4 linked regions of the Saccharomyces cerevisiae S288C genome follow. The gene in region 1 interacts genetically with each later gene. Each region holds a gene or a part of one and is shown in the gene's direction. Other genes may lie near its edges. The genes, in order: FIS1, ATP5, LCB4 and DUR12.

Region 1 (3,609 bases):
TATAAAGAAATATACATATATATACGTAATTTTAAGGGTCGCGTTTGTTATATGCTTTTACTTCAGGCATTTCGCGGTGATGTAGGTATTGAGTTTTTTTTTAAAAAAATTGACATTGTTTGGCGAGGTTGAAGATATAAATGCCTGGATTTTAAAAAGCTCAGTTGCTACTCAAACCAAAATGTCAACAAATCAATTTGCACAAAACAAGTACGCATAAACTTTGAGAGCATGAGTGAGACCAATGGTGGCAATGCAGCCAGGGAAAATTCTGAGGTGAAACAAACTGCAGTTGAAAATCCTATCGATAAACTAGATGGAACTCCTAAGAGACCGAGGGAAAAAGATCAGGATGAACAAGCGGAAGAAACGAGTGACAAATCAGAAGCACCCAATAAAAATGATGAGGAGAAAAAGGAGGAAGGTAAAAAAGACCAAGAACCATCGCATAAGAAGATCAAGGTTGACGACGGAAAGACCGTAGAATCTGGTATTGTGGAAGATGACAAAAAGGAGGATAAATTCGTGTTTGGTGCCGCATCTAAATTTGGAACTGGGTTTGGTGTTGCCAAAAAGGACACGAAAGATGGAGATGCAACTACCAGTACTGAAAGTTTACCAGCCTCTGACAGCAAAACAAAGAAGCCATTTGCATTTGGTTCAGGTTTATCATTTGGCAGCGGCTTCAACATACTGAAAAACAAAACAGAAAATAACTCTGAAAGTGAAAAGAAAGCTACTGATGTTGACAAAGATAAAGTCCATAGTGGATCTGAACAACTAGCGAATGCCTCAGAAGATACAAAAGACAAACCAAAACCCCTCAAATTGCAGAAACAGGAAGTCAAGTCTGGTGAAGAGTCTGAGGAGTGCATATATCAAGTCAATGCGAAGCTGTACCAACTTTCCAACATAAAAGAAGGCTGGAAGGAAAGAGGTGTTGGTATCATCAAAATCAATAAAAGTAAGGACGACGTCGAGAAGACGCGTATTGTTATGAGGTCTCGTGGTATCTTAAAAGTCATTTTAAACATCCAACTGGTCAAGGGGTTCACTGTGCAAAAAGGATTTACAGGTTCTTTGCAAAGCGAAAAATTCATAAGATTACTAGCAGTAGATGATAACGGTGATCCTGCACAGTACGCCATAAAGACTGGTAAGAAGGAAACCACGGATGAATTGTATAACATTATAGTTAAATCCGTTCCTAAATAAGTAAAGAGAAATAACGTTAAAAATAAATCAAAGATAAAAACAAATCAGTTTTGTTTAACAAATGCTACACTACATATGGTCGCACCCTGGACCCCGCCAAATTGGAAAACAGGGTATTTTATTGTTTTCCACATTTTCAAATTATCAGTCTCTATGATCTTTACTAGTTCATCTTGTGTGAAATTACAAGAAGTGATCAAGAAAATACCGTCTTTTTTCAAAATCCTTTCCACTACTCCGGCGTATACATCGACTACATCAAGTTTACCGTTGATCTTCATGCCACTCAATGAAATGGCATCTAGGGTCCCTTTATCCAACACAATGTCATACTTTCCCGGCTTCCAGTCACCACTAAAGATGTCTGCTTGCTGGAAACTGATGAAATTGTCAACACCGGTGGCCTCGGCTATATTACTAGCGAGTTTGACGCTTTCCTCAGAATAGTCTATCCCGACCAGTTTCCCTTGGAATTCCGTTTGATGCAGTTCAAATAACATGTGTCCATTACCTGTACCGAGGTCTACAACAGAAGCATTCTCAGAAATTCTGTACGCACCAATGTTATCTACCAGAAAATCAATCATCTTTTGTTCAGCATCGCTATCGCTAAACCAACAGTCCCCGGTATCCTGCGGATTCCGCCTGAAATTCTCCAGCTCCAGGGCATACAGTTCATCCCAGTATTTTTTCGTACCAAGTTTCGAAGTGCTCAAATCTGCCGTGCCCTGCATCTGTACTACCTTTTCGGGTTGAGTTCGTTCCATAATACCGTTCTTAAGAGCTGAGCTCATCGATTTTTTTTCACTTCTTTTCATGAACCAATCTTTTTGCGCATTTATGCCGGAACACCGCAAGCGGGCTAGGCTGGACCCCTTTCAAAGCAAAGCTGCCATTGCCACTATTCTGCACAGAAGTTATCATATACCTTGCGTAAAAACGGCACATAGAAGCACAGATCAGAGCACAGCCATACAACATAAGTATGACCAAAGTAGATTTTTGGCCAACTCTTAAGGACGCATACGAACCACTCTATCCGCAGCAGCTGGAGATTCTGCGCCAGCAAGTCGTCTCCGAGGGGGGGCCCACCGCTACCATACAGTCAAGGTTTAACTACGCATGGGGGCTGATCAAATCCACTGACGTGAATGACGAAAGGCTTGGTGTGAAAATCCTCACAGACATTTACAAAGAGGCCGAGTCCCGTAGACGAGAATGCCTATATTATCTGACCATAGGTTGCTACAAACTCGGTGAATACTCTATGGCGAAGAGATATGTAGACACTTTATTTGAGCATGAGCGTAATAACAAGCAGGTGGGCGCTTTGAAGAGTATGGTAGAGGATAAGATCCAGAAGGAAACACTCAAGGGTGTTGTCGTCGCTGGAGGCGTACTAGCCGGCGCTGTGGCCGTGGCTAGTTTCTTCTTAAGAAACAAGAGAAGGTAACAAGCACATAAAAAATCAGCACATACGTACATACATAAGAATGAATCGCACGCACGCGTAAACATTTATCATTTAATCTTCAGTTGTTAGATAAAAAAAAAAAGAAAAGAAAAGAAAGTGAAGGCTTGTTTCAGTTTGAACTAGGTAGCAGAGCAAGCCCTCGTTCTTGGCTGCTAATTTTCCTAAAGTAGTAAAAAAAGCCAAGTTATCTGCCTACGGTTGTCACAGCAACATTGCGTGCCGTTGTTCTTTTGTTTTTTTTTTTTTTTTTTTTTCGTGGTTGTCGCAGCAACGACACCTAGGCGCTGCTCAAAGGGGCAAAAACCCGGTTGCCATGGCGAGGACCAAACGACAAGATGGGAAAAAAACAATAGTCTATTGTTAAATCGTAATACTGTATTGTGAGATGCTGACGCGTTTCGTTTTTCGTGTCAGCGTTCTTTATATTGTTTCGTGTTCTGCTGCAAAACGTATATAAACGCACTGCTATTTTGCCTTCTTTTGCCTTCTTCCTTGCCTTTCTCTCATCTCATATCCAAGTTGAAATAAATATGACAAGCAAGAATAGCAGCAGCAATAAATCAAATACTCCCACACAAATGTACGTTATTAAAAGAGACGGCCGCAAAGAGCCCGTTCAATTCGATAAAATTACCTCCCGTATCACCCGTTTGTCATACGGTTTAGACCCAAACCGTATTGATGCTGTTAAGGTAACCCAACGTATTATTTCTGGTGTGTACTCCGGTGTTACTACCGTTGAGCTGGACAATCTTGCAGCTGAAACATGTGCATACATGACCACTGTGCACCCTGATTATGCCACTCTAGCCGCTAGAATCGCCATCTCTAACTTACATAAGCAAACCACAAAGCAATTCTCCAAAGTTATTGAGGATTTACACGACTGGATTAACCCAGCTACTGGAAAGCATGCTCCT
Region 2 (3,639 bases), on another chromosome or scaffold:
TGTTCAACTTTGTTCTTTTCATCAAACGGGACATATCGGATAATTGGTTTTCGACTTGTACATCTGCAGGTAAGTTGATAGCTTTGAATTTGTTAGATGATAAAGCAGCGTTACCTGATGCAGAAGAAACTTTGGTAGACCACTTGTTTAATACGGCAGTCCTGTACTCTTTTAGTTCTGAGTCTAAGCTATTAGTTTCTTGGTAAAGCTCTTTGAGAGATCTTTTTTTGGACAATTTATGCTTCGCCACCTCTTCATTTTGAGTGATATGATCGCCAAGTTGGAATTTTATTCTGAAATTTATCAACCGATTGAATAAATTATTGAACAGTTTTTCGTTTTCCTTCAGCAAACGCTTTGTTTCCTCTGAATCATCCATTTTAGCCTCTTCCCAGGACTCTGTAGTTAATGGGAGCTTATTTGCTGCAATTACAGCTTTTTGTAGTTTTATTCTCAAATCAATGATGTTGTCAAATAATTTTGTCTGTTGTAAAATGGAATAACCCTTCGAAGCATCTCTTTGAACTGATTGAGACAGTTTGTTAATAGCTTGTTTAGTCTCTTGTTGAATTAGTTTCGATAGTGCATGCCTTTTCTGTTGAGCCTCCTCCGTTTCACCGCCGTCCGCGTCTGATTCTTCTTCATCAATCTCTACTTCTTCATCTTCAGAATCTGTCCTGAATGAAAGAGCATCTTCCTCTTTTTCTTCTTCCTCTTCTTCTTCTTCTTCTTCGTCCTCATTCTCGGAAACTTCTTCATATAATGCTTGTCTTGAACCTTTAACACCTGTATATTTTGGATCGTTTAGTTCTAAACCTTTTTCTGCTCTTAACTTAGACTTTTCCACCTCCAAATAGTGCGCCTTCTTGGTTTCTTCTGTGTTGCTATTTCCATAGTCGCTTAAATCACTTTCTCCATTTTTTTCATTGTGTTGAAATAAAGATGCATTTTCCTCATCTTCAATATCGAAGTCTTTATTGACCGGTTTAATGGCGATATCGGAAATTTGATCCGCTAGTGATTTTTCCATCTTTTTTTGCTCTATATTTATTGGTAACAGTGCTTATTGTTACTCAATGTATGGTACGCTGCATACCTATCAAGATGCGACTACATATATACAATTATCTCATCTCATCGCGTATTGAAAAATTTTCCATCTTCTAATTTTTCAGAACCCATAAATTCGGGTAACGATCAGTGGAAAAAACTTAAATCCGCAGTAATAGGCTTGCAAAGGACCAAAGACAGCATATGCAGCAGTTAAGAAATCTAAGAATGCATTGTATATTAGAGTAGTATATGGAAAAGCTCGGACTGGGAGCCGTAAAATCTCTTTCCCGTAAGATCTGGCTGCAAACCTGGTCTACATAAATGTAGTACATTATAAGGGACTACCAAGAAATACGAAGCGCTCAGATATCTCTTAAAGTTCATTTTTTTGCCGGAATAATCTTGGTTTAGTAACTTATAAAACTACTTACGTCCAATAAATCGTTATATTTTATGCCGTCGTCATAAAGTGGACACTTTCGAGAGACGGTGCTGGCCAATAAGATGCTGATATTTGAAATATCATTTACCCGGGCCCGGGTGGGAAAAACAAGGAATTAAAGATAATGAAGTGATCTTTTGGCGAGATAGTAAAACTTTCAATTATCTAGGAACAATTTCAAACGCCAATTGTTAACTTTGTGTACAGTATTTCTAGTTTTTATCTCATTGAAAACAAAATTCAGTCAACTTGGAAATTTAAGCAGGCTACTGTGGCATTGAGATATTTTTCCGCAGAGTAAGAACCGATTAGCAAGTTACCGCATTATTTTTAAACCGTGGACAATCATGTTTAATAGAGTCTTTACCAGGTCATTTGCATCAAGCTTAAGAGCTGCTGCTTCCAAAGCTGCTGCTCCCCCACCGGTGAGATTGTTCGGTGTTGAGGGCACTTACGCAACAGCTTTATATCAGGCCGCTGCAAAGAACTCCTCTATTGATGCTGCCTTTCAATCTTTGCAAAAAGTTGAAAGCACAGTCAAAAAGAATCCAAAATTAGGTCACTTATTACTGAATCCTGCATTGTCATTGAAGGACAGAAATTCTGTCATTGATGCCATCGTGGAGACTCACAAGAATTTGGATGGTTATGTCGTTAACCTATTGAAGGTTCTTTCCGAAAATAACAGACTGGGATGTTTTGAAAAAATTGCGTCTGACTTTGGCGTTTTAAACGATGCTCACAACGGGTTACTTAAAGGTACAGTGACTAGTGCTGAACCATTGGATCCTAAATCTTTCAAGAGGATTGAAAAAGCTTTGAGCGCCTCCAAATTGGTGGGGCAAGGTAAATCTTTGAAGCTGGAAAACGTGGTTAAGCCAGAGATTAAGGGTGGTTTGATTGTAGAACTTGGTGACAAGACTGTTGACTTAAGCATTTCTACAAAGATTCAAAAACTGAATAAGGTCTTAGAGGACAGCATTTAACGTTAATAATATAGTTGGATATGCTCAACTCGTTTGATGTTACTTTCTTTGCCTCCCTCCTAATTTTTGATTCTGTTCAAATATATATTCTTTTCCGTGAATTTTTCCTAAACATCAAAATTACGTACATATACGAATAAATAAGAAACCCCTCTAAAAAGTGAATTTTTTTGTTCGAGACAACCATTTTAATCATATATATGTTCGTGTATCCAGGCAAACTTATATTAATCGCAAAAAAAAAAATTATAAGTGTATATATGGAATAAACATAAAAAATAATAAAAGAAGAAAAAAAAAAATAATGAAGAATTCTCATCAGTTTTCGAAGATTTCAAGAAAGTCCGAAGAACATTTAAGACCTTTTTGATAATTCAAGATGTGCATGCACAATAATAACCATTTCATAGTTGAATTTTGATGTATTCTTTCGTTACAAATCAAATATATAGTCAAAGTCACGCCTATACACTTAATAATATGTCTTGATGTATATAAATGGATAATAAATACAAACGTGGGAAGTCGGAGACATTGCCTTTACCCAGCAATTGAACGGGAGGTATGCAAAAGGGTTATTTCTCTTTCTTTACTTCATTTTCAGCAGCATTCATAGCTTTGAAGTTTTTGAGTTTCTCCTTCTTTTCCAATTCTCTCTCTTGCAAAAACTCTTTGTACTTGTCGATGGTGACACGTCTTTGCTTCTTTTGATATTCTTCAAACCCTTTAAAGTTAGTTTGGAACAAATTGTCCCAGAAAGTGAAAAATGGTTGAGCAAAGTTCGTCTTGATACCAAATTGCTGGTGGTGGATATCGTGATAGACAGCGTTATTAGGGAAAAGCCATTGGAATGGGTCAAGTGGCAAAGCATACCCACAGTGGTCATCGACAGTCTTCATGGTGGCAAAGGTAAAAAGAATGATTTGCTCTCTGTGAGTCAAATGAGTTAACGTCATGGCAATACCGGTTCCCAAAGTATCTAACAAGAAGCCCTCAACAGGATTGTTGAAAAGAGCACCGTAAGCATATGGCACGTATAGTTCATGATGAACAGAGTGGAACCATTTGTATAAGGTCTTATTCATATGCATCAATCTATGCAAAAAGTATTGCCATGTATCAACGAATAAAAAGCCTGCAAAGATCTTCAAAGCGGAC
Region 3 (5,054 bases), on another chromosome or scaffold:
GTATCAAATAAATATTTATAATCTGGCTGACTCATTAGTTCCTCCCAGCCAAGGTTGTACGCCGTCCAAAATTCGTTGGATATTGTCTGTGCCAGTTCAGTCTCAATTGGCCCAGTTTCATTGTTATGCGAAGCGTTTTCGCTGTTATTTCGCACTTCCTCCGGGGGTAATCCTGGAGAATTTCCCGCCAATGGACTGGCGCTTGTGACGCCCAGGTCACTTAAACTGGGATCGATTGGAGTATTTACATTGTCAGTGAGCGAATAGGACCCATTCAATTCGTCTTGGAGTTGTTGTAACCATGTGTTTTCGACCTCGGTTCTATATTTGATTACTTTTTCCAAAACAGCTCTATATATGCTTTCCAGGGCGATGTTGATAACAAATGTATAAGAGCGAGCCATAATAATTCTTAACTGCTTGTTGTTATCATTAGACCATTTAGCAAATATATCTGAATGTATTTTGAAAGCAGTAAGTAAGTTCATAGCTTTATCCAACGGGATATTCAAGGTTGACAAATCCCAATCTGTGACTTCTTGATCTTTGATGTTGGATGATAGATAATAGCCCTTCTCAAAAAGAGTTAACTTATGATACAAAAACGCACAAAAGCCAGTAGAGGCCCTAGGAAAAAGGAAATTTGTGTATACTAAAGACAAGGCCATAAATGGCGGTAAATGAACGCAATTATGATCAAAAAACTCAGGAAAATGCTTCTCATCTAGGTTAAAACACAGTATGGTCGTATTGATGACAAGGGAAAAAGAGACCAAAATGGTTTGCAGGATGTTGTTCTCTAAAACAACGCTTTTTTCCTTGTAAATCAAATACCTCAAGGAATAAAACGTCAACAACAAATTCAAAACCTGCGCAAGCACTTTAATCTCGCACAAAGGAACTTTAGATATTAACTCACTGTCAGTGTAATATGATATTGGGTGGAATTCAGTCTCTACAAAGTTTCTTAGTTTTTTACAATTTTCGGCTAAGTCTGGAAATGCGCTTCTATCATAAATTTGATCTAGCATTGGTCGAGCTAATCTTAAAAACCTTTTAAGCTTGCCCATGCAGGAATTTGACTGATCGAAAAAAACCGTCGATGAATAATTGTTTGTATTTTTAGGCAACCTCTCACCATTCTCGCATTCATCGACTTGAAAATAGGATGAGTTAATCGCCAAACATCTCCCAATATTTAAAGAAACATTGAAATCTGATAATATAATCCAAACCCACAAATTTTCCAAACTTTCCATACTCCCCACAATATTTTCTTGATTTTTGTATATTTCTCTTATATTCAAGTGTAAACCCAGCATAATTGCCGTGCTGCATAATAAGTCAACTAGACTAATCATATGCGAATCGTCTCCACACGCCCAAATTAGTTCTCGATGATAGTATTTCAATAAGAGAAATTGAGCGCGTTCAATGAAATATACTTTAGCTGTTGACAGTCCCGTCAGCATGATGAGAAATTTCTCTATCTCTTCCGGAGTATTTTTGTAGAAATGGCGAATACACAGTATCATCAAAATAACTCCAATCTTATAATAGTTTTTCTTTGTCGATGGTAATAACTTTTCAATCCGCCTTTCACCGTTGGGTAACAGTTCGTCACTTGGAAGAAACGAGGAAGTGAAATCGTTTATTATTTTGGTTTTATCTAATACTTCACTAACTTCATTAGTTTCCAGTTCAGTATTGAAAAAGTCTGTTATAATCTTTGACGATTGTTCAAAAGATGGCAAAACGTTACAAACCTGTTGCAAGATGTCAGAGCCTGTCTTTTCTAACGGCGGTCCCTCTAGGAGTTGAGTTTCTGGCTTCATTGTCCATTTATGCCTAGCCTTCCATCTGTTTCTCTCGATTTTCACTTTGGACCAGAGCTGATTATACGTGTTTACAAACCGATTATCATCGTTTGAGAGATGCGTTCTCAAAGATGTAGGACCATATACTATTCTTCTTCCCGAGCCTTTACATTGTAAATAGTAAAAATTAGCGTAAGGGTTCCTAAATGGGCTCGTACTAAGCGCTACATCCTTCTCCGTCAACTCTTTGTCATCTAGTCTTTTCTCTAAATCCTCAATCCTTTTCAACAGTTCAATGTTCGGAGTACTGCCAAATAACTCTTTTGTTTCTATTTTGTGGGTGAATTTCTCTGTATACAGGCAACCAGAACGACCCCTCGTCTTACAAGTTGAGCACATTGGCTTCTGCTGGTCGCAACGTAATTTCCTTTTCCTACAAAAAGCGCATGACTTTATTGGTTTCCGTCTCTTCTGCGCCTTCTTTACAGTTTCCTCCGATGGGGAAGCTCTATCCTGTAAACTACCCCGCTTACTCATTAACAACTCCCTTTACCAGGACCATTCAATGTGCTTTCCCCTCTGACTTTCTATACTCTTGCCGTTATTATTACAATACCACCTGGCATTTGTCATTTTATCGCCTTGTAAACCATGGGTGTCACCCTACTGCCGAGCCTGAAAAAAACGTGCTGCAAGGGTCTTGAAGCAAAAAGATGATTTAACGGAAGAAAGGCATACAAGAAGGTGAAAATTCGTGTTTAACCCATCTGATACTTTCCCTTGTCTAACGTACTGATCCTGGAGGTTATCAAGAACACAAAAGTCTAGCAGCGAAAAGTACGCGAAGAATCTACTATAGATAATGGTGGTGCAGAAAAAACTTAGGGCTATCTTGACCGATGAAGGTGTATTGATCAAATCGCAATCACACCATATGTTCAATAAGCATGGTCAACTCAGAAGCGGAGATTCTTTATCCTTGTTGAGCTGCTTGTCCTGTCTGGATGATGGAACTTTGAGCTCTGATGGAGGTTCTTTTGATGAGGATGATTCCCTGGAACTGTTGCCTCTTAATACTACCATTCCGTTCAACAGAATTTTGAACGCAAAATATGTGAATGTCGGTCAGAAAGGCTTCAATAATGGCAAAATTTCTTCGAATCCTTTTCAAACGGAAAATCTGAGTTCTTCGTCTGAAAATGACGACGTTGAGAATCATAGTTTGAGCAATGATAAGGCTCCTGTAAGCGAATCACAGTCATTTCCCAAAAAAGACAAGTGGGATACAAAAACGAACACTGTGAAGGTGTCTCCCGATGATTCACAGGATAACTCACCATCTTTAGGGATAAAAGATAATCAACAGTTAATTGAGTTAACTTTTGCTGTACCCAAGGGCCATGATGTTATACCACAAAAATTAACCTTGTTAATAGATCACGTTTCTAGGAAATCGAGAGCAAATACCGGAGAGGAGAACATTTCTTCTGGTACTGTGGAAGAAATCCTGGAAAAAAGTTATGAAAATTCCAAGAGAAACAGATCGATATTAGTCATTATTAATCCCCACGGTGGTAAAGGTACTGCTAAAAATTTATTCCTGACAAAAGCAAGGCCAATACTAGTGGAAAGTGGCTGCAAAATAGAAATTGCATACACAAAATATGCCCGTCACGCCATCGATATTGCCAAAGATTTAGATATCAGCAAATACGATACCATTGCATGTGCCTCGGGTGATGGTATTCCATACGAAGTAATTAATGGGCTTTATAGAAGACCCGACAGAGTGGATGCGTTCAATAAACTAGCCGTAACTCAGCTACCTTGCGGTTCAGGAAATGCTATGAGCATTTCATGTCATTGGACAAATAACCCATCGTACGCCGCTCTGTGCCTTGTCAAATCCATTGAAACAAGAATAGACTTAATGTGTTGTTCCCAACCTTCTTATATGAACGAATGGCCAAGATTATCCTTTTTGAGTCAGACGTACGGCGTTATTGCAGAATCTGATATTAACACTGAATTCATCAGATGGATGGGTCCCGTTAGGTTTAATTTGGGTGTAGCATTCAACATTATCCAAGGTAAGAAATATCCCTGCGAAGTTTTCGTCAAATATGCTGCCAAATCTAAAAAGGAATTAAAAGTTCATTTCTTAGAAAATAAAGATAAAAACAAAGGATGTTTAACCTTCGAACCAAATCCTAGCCCAAACTCTTCGCCGGATTTACTATCTAAAAACAATATCAACAACAGTACAAAAGATGAACTTTCACCGAATTTTCTCAACGAGGACAACTTTAAATTAAAGTATCCGATGACGGAACCAGTACCTAGAGACTGGGAGAAAATGGATTCAGAGCTAACTGATAACTTAACAATCTTTTACACAGGGAAAATGCCGTATATTGCTAAGGACACCAAATTTTTTCCCGCTGCTTTACCAGCGGATGGTACCATTGATTTAGTCATAACGGATGCAAGAATCCCAGTGACAAGAATGACACCAATTTTATTATCCTTGGATAAAGGTTCTCATGTATTAGAGCCAGAAGTTATTCACTCAAAAATATTGGCTTATAAGATTATACCAAAAGTGGAGTCAGGTTTATTTTCAGTGGATGGTGAAAAGTTTCCTTTGGAACCCTTGCAAGTGGAAATAATGCCCATGTTATGCAAGACGTTGCTAAGGAATGGTAGATATATCGATACAGAGTTTGAATCCATGTAGATTAACGTTATATTTTCCTTCAAAAATGATTTTTTTGTAAAAAGAAATACTACATCGAAAAGAAAAGGCGATATAATGTTTCTATCATCGGAGTATGGTTTATATTCCATTTTTGTTTTCATTATAATTATACATCCCCAGTTATATATCATTAATACGTAACAATATTATGAGTTGGTCTTTATTATCTAATATAATTAAAAAATTTACACTATTACATCATTTTCAACCAATAGGATATATATATAAATATATACATATATGCACATTAAATCATTCACTTGGAAGTTGCGTCCTTCAAGCTAACTATTCTATTCAAAATAACCTTAGAAGTCGTACTCTCTTTATCCAGAGTGAAATAACCTACTCTCATAGCTTGGAATCTACACACTTCTTTGGAATCCTTATCTTCTTCAACATAAAATTCCGAGTTTTTAACAGAATCAACGACCCATGGACTGTTCTTGACAACGTCCCCGAAGTTATGTTCCATGACAGAT
Region 4 (8,749 bases), on another chromosome or scaffold:
CTTCGGTTATGATAATACAGCAAGCCTGCAAGAGCACGAAAGATATGTTTTCTAACTTCTTGCCGAGCAGGGAATATTGGGGATTTGGACCGTTGGAATAAATGGGTCCTCAATATTGACAGGAGTCGGTTTTGGAATGAGAATTAACTATCATTTAGTGATGGTAATCCTATTACTAGAATATTATCAGATACAATGTTAGAGGACAATAGGAATACATAAAATAGAAGAAATAATGATGGCATTACATCGAAATATCGATTACACTATATCTTGGAGGAGAACTTTTTATTTTATTTTGTATATCTGATGCTATAGCCTCTAACAATAAGTTAATCCCAACAACTATCTCAATATTCATATAATCGTCTGAGAGATTGATAACAGCTAGTAATGTAGCTAACAGTCAAAAGATAATAAATGATTCATCTTCCAACAGCTTGCGGGGAAAGTTTTTCACACTAATGTGCGGTGTTGTTTTCCTTAACAGGCTCTGAGCAAAATATGGAGAGAGAGGTCTCATTTACTTTGCCATTCTTCATTTAAGCTTGAGGCTTGTTCTACTGAAATGTTAAGTTCTCAGAAGCCAACTTTGGATCAAAGGGCTTTGTTAGTAGCAAAACGCTATTTCTATTGATTTTGATTATTTTTCGAAACATTAAGAGCACAATGTATATTAATTTTCCCTGATGAATAGTTAAGATGATTAGATGGGCTAGGCGCTTAAAAATGAGAAACAGGTGAAATTTGAGATAAATGTTGATTTCGTTGTTGCTAAAGGCTATAATATCAGGTATACAAAATATACTGGAAATATACCTCGAGAATCTTGGAATCCACGAAAGGGAATAGATATTACTCCATAATAATATTATGTTGGAACGAGAGTAATTAATAGTGACATGAGTTGCTATGGTAACAATTCAATGCTTACATCGTATATTAATGTACAACTCGTATACGTTTAAGTGTGATTGCGCCTATTGCAGAAGGAATGTTAAACGAGAAGCTCAGACAATACTGAAGCTGTGTTAAAGACCTATTAGTTGAACATGTTATGGTAGGTACATATATGAGGAATATGAGTCGTCACATCAATGTATAGTAACTACCGGAATCACTATTATATTGGTCATGATTAATATGACCAATCGGCGTGTGTTTTATATACCTCTCTTATTTAGTATAAGAAGATCAGTAATTATTTCTTCATTAATACTAATTTTTAACCTCTAATTATCAACATATTATTTCTCCTTTCGTTTTATCTGATGTCATTCATTGATTGCCAGCAACTATCCCAAACCTCATGTGATTCTCGGATTCCTTACCACGAAAAAACAGATGTGTAAGTGTATTTGAACACACAATAATAAAAATGATTATCATTCCCAGATGGAGGAGCCCATTCCAAACATAGCAAAATTCAGCACATCCTCTTCGTTAGCATTTCCGTATGGAAGCAACCCTCAGTCCAACAAATACCGTTTAAACAAATGAGCGACATTTATTCGCTTTTTCTAAAATAAAGGTCCCCGCTGAAACTTCTTTGCATACAGTTCAAATATTCCACCGTTCTCTTATATGTGGGGCTGGCACTACTTCGTATAATTGACTATACTATCTATATTAGTCTTCCCACATGTAATAGAAAGCTCGTATGGCGCAGTGGTAGCGCAGCAGATTGCAAATCTGTTGGTCCTTAGTTCGATCCTGAGTGCGAGCTTCTTTTTTTTTTTGCAATCCTTATTGAACTTTTTTTCTTGCTGCAGTCTCCTCAAAGGCAACATGTTCTTTGCTTTTTTTCCCCAACGACGTCGAACACATTAGTCCTATGGCTTGCTGCAGATAAGGCTACTATGTGTATTGGCAATACCCTTTTTAAAATTGGCAGATCTCTTATGGCGATCGCCGAACGCCAGGTTGTTAGCTAACTGCAACGGCACGCATCTTTGGCTGCATTTCGCCTCATCATTTACGCGCTTTTCCAGGCTTTTTCCCCTTATCAGATAAGATAAAAAAACGAACAATAAATAAGCTTCAGATAAGATAAGCAGGAAAGCGTTCCTAGCCCTACCGAGAAATGTGCGTTTATAGTTTGGTGCCTCTTTCTTGATTGACGCTCTATAATGAAACCAATATGCGTTCATTCCCCTATTTCATAGGGCACTCTGTTCGCAGTTAGCGCAAGCCATTGAGATAAGACACGCAGATGTTTTGCTTTTTCCTGCTTCTTAATTTGAATCGAGCTTTGTTAGACGTTGTTGGAAATTGAATGTTTGTATTTAAACACTAGAGCAGATGAGGTGTGAGATTTGTATACTCGCTCACTTCTGAATATCAGGCTCTCTTAGCTAAGCTTTTTTTTTCTAGGATCATATAGGCTCAAGTTTTTATAAGCTTATATTAATATATCAGTGGAGCAGCTGATATACACCAAATTTCAATTTACATTAATATAAAAGATAAAAAATAGAAATATCTTTTTTATAGTCACAATAAATTTCAGTTTTGATTAAAAAATGACAGTTAGTTCCGATACAACTGCTGAAATATCGTTAGGTTGGTCAATCCAAGACTGGATTGATTTCCACAAGTCATCAAGCTCCCAGGCTTCACTAAGGCTTCTTGAATCACTACTAGACTCTCAAAATGTTGCGCCAGTCGATAATGCGTGGATATCGCTAATTTCAAAGGAAAATTTACTGCACCAATTCCAAATTTTAAAGAGCAGAGAAAATAAAGAAACTCTACCTCTCTACGGTGTCCCTATTGCTGTTAAGGACAACATCGACGTTAGAGGTCTACCCACCACCGCTGCATGTCCATCCTTTGCATATGAGCCTTCCAAAGACTCTAAAGTAGTAGAACTACTAAGAAATGCAGGTGCGATAATCGTGGGTAAGACAAACTTGGACCAATTTGCCACAGGATTAGTCGGCACACGGTCTCCATATGGGAAAACACCTTGCGCTTTTAGCAAAGAGCATGTATCTGGTGGTTCCTCCGCTGGGTCAGCATCGGTGGTCGCCAGAGGTATCGTACCAATTGCATTGGGTACTGATACAGCAGGTTCTGGTAGAGTCCCAGCCGCCTTGAACAACCTGATTGGCCTAAAGCCAACAAAGGGCGTCTTTTCCTGTCAAGGTGTAGTTCCCGCTTGTAAATCTTTAGACTGCGTCTCCATCTTTGCATTAAACCTAAGTGATGCTGAACGCTGCTTCCGCATCATGTGCCAGCCAGATCCTGATAATGATGAATATTCTAGACCCTATGTTTCCAACCCTTTGAAAAAATTTTCAAGCAATGTAACGATTGCTATTCCTAAAAATATCCCATGGTATGGTGAAACCAAGAATCCTGTACTGTTTTCCAATGCTGTCGAAAATCTATCAAGAACGGGCGCTAACGTCATAGAAATTGATTTTGAGCCTCTTTTAGAGTTAGCTCGCTGTTTATACGAAGGTACTTGGGTGGCCGAGCGTTATCAAGCTATTCAATCGTTTTTGGACAGTAAACCACCAAAGGAATCTTTGGACCCTACTGTTATTTCAATTATAGAAGGGGCCAAGAAATACAGTGCAGTAGACTGCTTCAGTTTTGAATACAAAAGACAAGGCATCTTGCAAAAAGTGAGACGACTTCTCGAATCAGTCGATGTATTGTGTGTGCCCACATGTCCTTTAAATCCTACTATGCAACAAGTTGCGGATGAACCAGTCCTAGTCAATTCAAGACAAGGCACATGGACTAATTTTGTCAACTTGGCAGATTTGGCAGCCCTTGCTGTTCCCGCAGGGTTCCGAGACGATGGTTTGCCAAATGGTATTACTTTAATCGGTAAAAAATTCACAGATTACGCACTATTAGAGTTGGCTAACCGCTATTTCCAAAATATATTCCCCAACGGTTCCAGAACATACGGTACTTTTACCTCTTCTTCAGTAAAGCCAGCAAACGATCAATTAGTGGGACCAGACTATGACCCATCTACGTCCATAAAATTGGCTGTTGTCGGTGCACATCTTAAGGGTCTGCCTCTACATTGGCAATTGGAAAAGGTCAATGCAACATATTTATGTACAACAAAAACATCAAAAGCTTACCAGCTTTTTGCTTTGCCCAAAAATGGACCAGTTTTAAAACCTGGTTTGAGAAGAGTTCAAGATAGCAATGGCTCTCAAATCGAATTAGAAGTGTACAGTGTTCCAAAAGAACTGTTCGGTGCTTTTATTTCCATGGTTCCTGAACCATTAGGAATAGGTTCAGTGGAGTTAGAATCTGGTGAATGGATCAAATCCTTTATTTGTGAAGAATCTGGTTACAAAGCCAAAGGTACAGTTGATATCACAAAGTATGGTGGATTTAGAGCATATTTTGAAATGTTGAAGAAAAAAGAGTCCCAAAAGAAGAAGTTATTTGATACCGTGTTAATTGCCAATAGAGGTGAAATTGCCGTTCGTATTATCAAGACATTAAAAAAATTGGGTATTAGATCAGTTGCAGTTTATTCCGACCCTGATAAATATTCTCAACACGTTACTGATGCAGATGTTTCTGTACCCCTTCATGGCACAACCGCAGCCCAAACTTATTTAGACATGAATAAGATCATAGATGCCGCTAAGCAAACTAATGCACAGGCCATTATTCCTGGTTATGGTTTCTTGTCGGAAAATGCGGATTTTTCTGATGCGTGCACCAGTGCTGGCATTACCTTTGTTGGTCCTTCGGGAGATATTATCAGAGGTTTAGGGTTAAAACATTCTGCTAGACAGATTGCACAGAAGGCTGGCGTTCCTCTAGTGCCAGGCTCTTTGCTTATCACATCAGTTGAAGAGGCTAAGAAAGTCGCAGCGGAATTGGAATACCCAGTTATGGTGAAGTCAACTGCTGGTGGCGGTGGTATTGGTTTGCAGAAAGTCGATTCTGAAGAGGACATCGAGCATATTTTTGAGACTGTGAAACATCAAGGTGAAACATTTTTCGGTGACGCTGGTGTATTTCTGGAACGGTTTATCGAAAATGCCAGGCATGTTGAAGTCCAACTTATGGGAGATGGTTTTGGTAAGGCCATTGCTTTGGGCGAACGTGATTGTTCTTTACAGCGTCGTAACCAAAAAGTTATCGAAGAAACTCCTGCACCAAATTTGCCAGAAAAGACGAGGTTGGCGTTAAGAAAGGCAGCTGAAAGTTTGGGATCTTTATTGAATTACAAGTGTGCTGGTACGGTTGAATTTATTTACGATGAGAAAAAGGACGAGTTTTACTTTTTAGAAGTTAATACAAGATTACAAGTTGAACATCCAATAACAGAAATGGTTACAGGGTTAGACTTGGTCGAGTGGATGATCAGGATTGCCGCTAATGATGCACCTGATTTTGATTCTACAAAGGTAGAAGTCAATGGGGTTTCAATGGAGGCACGTTTATATGCTGAAAATCCATTGAAAAATTTCAGACCTTCTCCAGGTTTACTTGTCGATGTGAAATTTCCTGATTGGGCAAGAGTGGATACTTGGGTTAAGAAAGGTACTAATATTTCTCCCGAATATGATCCAACATTGGCCAAAATTATCGTTCATGGGAAAGACCGTGATGATGCAATTTCCAAGTTAAATCAAGCGTTAGAAGAAACAAAAGTTTACGGATGTATTACTAACATTGACTACCTGAAGTCTATCATTACCAGTGATTTCTTTGCTAAAGCAAAAGTTTCTACAAACATTTTGAACTCTTATCAATATGAGCCTACCGCCATCGAAATTACTTTGCCCGGTGCACACACTAGTATTCAGGATTACCCCGGTAGAGTTGGGTACTGGAGAATTGGTGTTCCGCCCTCTGGTCCAATGGACGCATATTCGTTTAGATTGGCGAACAGAATTGTTGGTAATGACTACAGGACTCCTGCCATTGAAGTAACGTTGACTGGTCCATCCATCGTTTTCCATTGTGAAACTGTCATTGCCATTACTGGTGGTACCGCTCTATGTACATTAGACGGCCAAGAAATTCCCCAACACAAACCGGTCGAAGTTAAGAGGGGATCTACTTTATCCATTGGCAAGTTGACAAGCGGCTGTAGAGCATACTTAGGTATCAGGGGTGGCATTGATGTGCCTAAATACTTGGGCTCTTATTCTACTTTCACTCTAGGAAATGTCGGTGGATACAATGGAAGGGTGCTAAAACTTGGAGACGTACTATTCTTACCAAGCAATGAAGAAAATAAATCAGTTGAGTGCCTTCCACAGAATATTCCTCAATCATTAATTCCTCAAATTTCCGAAACTAAGGAATGGAGAATTGGTGTAACATGTGGTCCCCATGGGTCTCCAGATTTTTTTAAACCTGAGTCCATCGAAGAATTTTTCAGTGAGAAGTGGAAGGTTCATTACAACTCCAATAGATTTGGTGTCCGTTTGATTGGACCTAAACCTAAGTGGGCAAGAAGTAATGGTGGTGAAGGTGGTATGCATCCTTCAAACACTCACGATTACGTTTATTCTCTGGGTGCAATTAATTTCACGGGTGATGAGCCAGTTATTATTACTTGCGATGGTCCTTCCTTAGGTGGTTTTGTGTGTCAAGCTGTTGTCCCAGAAGCAGAACTGTGGAAGGTTGGACAGGTTAAACCCGGTGATTCCATTCAGTTTGTGCCACTTTCTTACGAAAGCTCGAGATCCTTAAAGGAATCTCAGGATGTTGCAATTAAATCATTGGATGGTACTAAGTTAAGGCGCTTAGACTCTGTTTCAATTTTACCATCATTCGAAACGCCTATTCTTGCACAAATGGAAAAAGTGAATGAGCTTTCACCAAAGGTTGTATACAGACAAGCAGGTGATCGTTATGTTTTGGTGGAATACGGTGATAATGAAATGAATTTTAATATTTCCTATAGAATTGAATGCCTGATCTCCCTTGTGAAAAAGAATAAGACTATTGGTATTGTTGAAATGTCCCAAGGTGTTAGATCTGTATTGATAGAATTTGATGGTTACAAAGTCACTCAAAAAGAATTGCTTAAAGTATTGGTGGCATATGAAACAGAAATCCAGTTTGATGAAAATTGGAAGATAACTTCTAATATAATAAGATTACCGATGGCTTTCGAAGACTCGAAGACTTTGGCATGTGTTCAAAGGTATCAAGAAACAATTCGTTCGTCTGCTCCATGGTTGCCAAATAACGTTGATTTCATTGCCAATGTAAATGGAATTTCAAGGAATGAAGTTTATGATATGTTGTATTCTGCCAGATTTATGGTTTTAGGTTTAGGTGATGTCTTCCTAGGGTCGCCTTGTGCTGTTCCATTAGATCCTCGTCACAGATTTTTGGGAAGCAAGTACAACCCAAGTAGAACATATACAGAAAGAGGTGCAGTCGGTATTGGCGGTATGTATATGTGCATATATGCTGCTAACAGTCCTGGTGGGTACCAATTAGTGGGTAGAACAATACCAATTTGGGACAAACTATGTCTGGCCGCATCTTCTGAGGTTCCGTGGTTGATGAACCCATTTGACCAAGTCGAATTTTACCCAGTTTCTGAAGAAGATTTGGATAAAATGACTGAAGATTGTGATAATGGTGTTTATAAAGTCAATATCGAAAAGAGTGTTTTTGATCATCAAGAATACTTGAGATGGATCAACGCAAACAAAGATTCCATCACAGCATTCCAGGAGGGCCAGCTTGGTGAAAGAGCAGAGGAATTTGCCAAATTGATTCAAAATGCAAACTCTGAACTAAAAGAAAGTGTCACAGTCAAACCTGACGAGGAAGAAGACTTCCCAGAAGGTGCAGAAATTGTATATTCTGAGTATTCTGGGCGTTTTTGGAAATCCATAGCATCTGTTGGAGATGTTATTGAAGCAGGTCAAGGGCTACTAATTATTGAAGCCATGAAAGCGGAAATGATTATATCCGCTCCTAAATCGGGTAAGATTATCAAGATTTGCCATGGCAATGGTGATATGGTTGATTCTGGTGACATAGTGGCCGTCATAGAGACATTGGCATGAATTACCTTTTGTTGGCATCTAAAATCAAAGGAGCACTCATTTAGTCTTTATAGCATGCCTTTTTCTAGCTATTTTTAATGACGAATATATATGTACATAGTATTTACTGTAAAATGTATGAAAAGAAGCTTAAAATTATTACGTGTGTTTGTTATGTTCTCAATTTGCTGAACCACTGCTATCAATTATTAGGGGCACAGAACTATCTTTGGACCGTCTTTGACTGTCTGGCTCTGATGTGCTAGAGTTGAGTTCAGAAGTATGATGTTTGAGATCGAGCGATGCCTTGGCAATGCTTAATCTTTTCATAATACGTTTCTTTTGCCAGCTAATAGGTAGATATGGGATATATCCGTATTTTTCTTCTATCATTAGCAGTTTCAAAGCGCATATTAATACCAACCAGTAGGCGTTGTAGCTAATTACAGAGCCGACGGTAGCACTATTCGTCCAACCAAAAATGGCAGTAAAAATCATCCAACCTCCATCTTTTTCACCATTGCAACAATTAACATGCCAAACAGAACGAGATATGTCGTACGAACCGGGTCCATTTCCTACTTCACTCATGTCTTGACCGTTACATTTGTTGACGTAGTCTTGCAATTCAAGTTGCCATACACCTTTGGAAAACAAACCAGCCGCGATCAAGTAGAGGAAGCAGGTGGCGACTACAAGGCATATCTTAAGTGAAAGAGAACTTGAGTACCTGAAGAAAA

Evidence for each region.
Region 2: mutations in FIS1 (region 1) and ATP5 together harm fitness more than expected from each alone (negative genetic interaction), as found in Saccharomyces cerevisiae (2 studies listed by BioGRID).
Region 3: mutations in FIS1 (region 1) and LCB4 together harm fitness more than expected from each alone (negative genetic interaction), as found in Saccharomyces cerevisiae (2 studies listed by BioGRID).
Region 4: mutations in FIS1 (region 1) and DUR12 together harm fitness more than expected from each alone (negative genetic interaction), as found in Saccharomyces cerevisiae (2 studies listed by BioGRID).

What each region holds. Positions count from the first base shown.
Region 1 is NC_001141.2:240,367-243,975, reverse strand, and holds FIS1 (Fis1p), read left to right. Parts: upstream 1-2,200; coding exon 2,201-2,668; downstream 2,669-3,609. Other genes in the region: YRB2 (Yrb2p), read left to right, coding at 232-1,215; EFM4 (Efm4p), read right to left, coding at 1,260-1,949; ribonucleotide-diphosphate reductase subunit RNR3, read left to right, coding at 3,268-3,609. UniProt on the Saccharomyces cerevisiae protein: Has a role in mitochondrial fission. Has a role in outer membrane fission but not matrix separation. Required for targeting MDV1 to the mitochondria.
Region 2 is NC_001136.10:1,057,018-1,060,656, reverse strand, and holds ATP5 (F1F0 ATP synthase subunit 5), read left to right. Parts: upstream 1-1,842; coding exon 1,843-2,481; downstream 2,482-3,639. Other genes in the region: rRNA-processing protein BFR2, read right to left, coding at 1-1,030; SUR2 (sphingosine hydroxylase), read right to left, coding at 3,057-3,639. UniProt on the Saccharomyces cerevisiae protein: Mitochondrial membrane ATP synthase (F(1)F(0) ATP synthase or Complex V) produces ATP from ADP in the presence of a proton gradient across the membrane which is generated by electron transport complexes of the respiratory chain.
Region 3 is NC_001147.6:651,510-656,563, reverse strand, and holds LCB4 (sphinganine kinase LCB4), read left to right. Parts: upstream 1-2,679; coding exon 2,680-4,554; downstream 4,555-5,054. Other genes in the region: YRM1 (Yrm1p), read right to left, coding at 1-2,354; GLN4 (glutamine--tRNA ligase), read right to left, coding at 4,832-5,054.
Region 4 is NC_001134.8:635,984-644,732, reverse strand, and holds DUR12 (bifunctional urea carboxylase/allophanate hydrolase), read left to right. Parts: upstream 1-2,522; coding exon 2,523-8,030; downstream 8,031-8,749. Other genes in the region: YBR209W (uncharacterized protein), read right to left, coding at 1,833-2,150; FTH1 (Fth1p), read right to left, coding at 8,190-8,749. UniProt on the Saccharomyces cerevisiae protein: Hydrolysis of urea to ammonia and CO(2).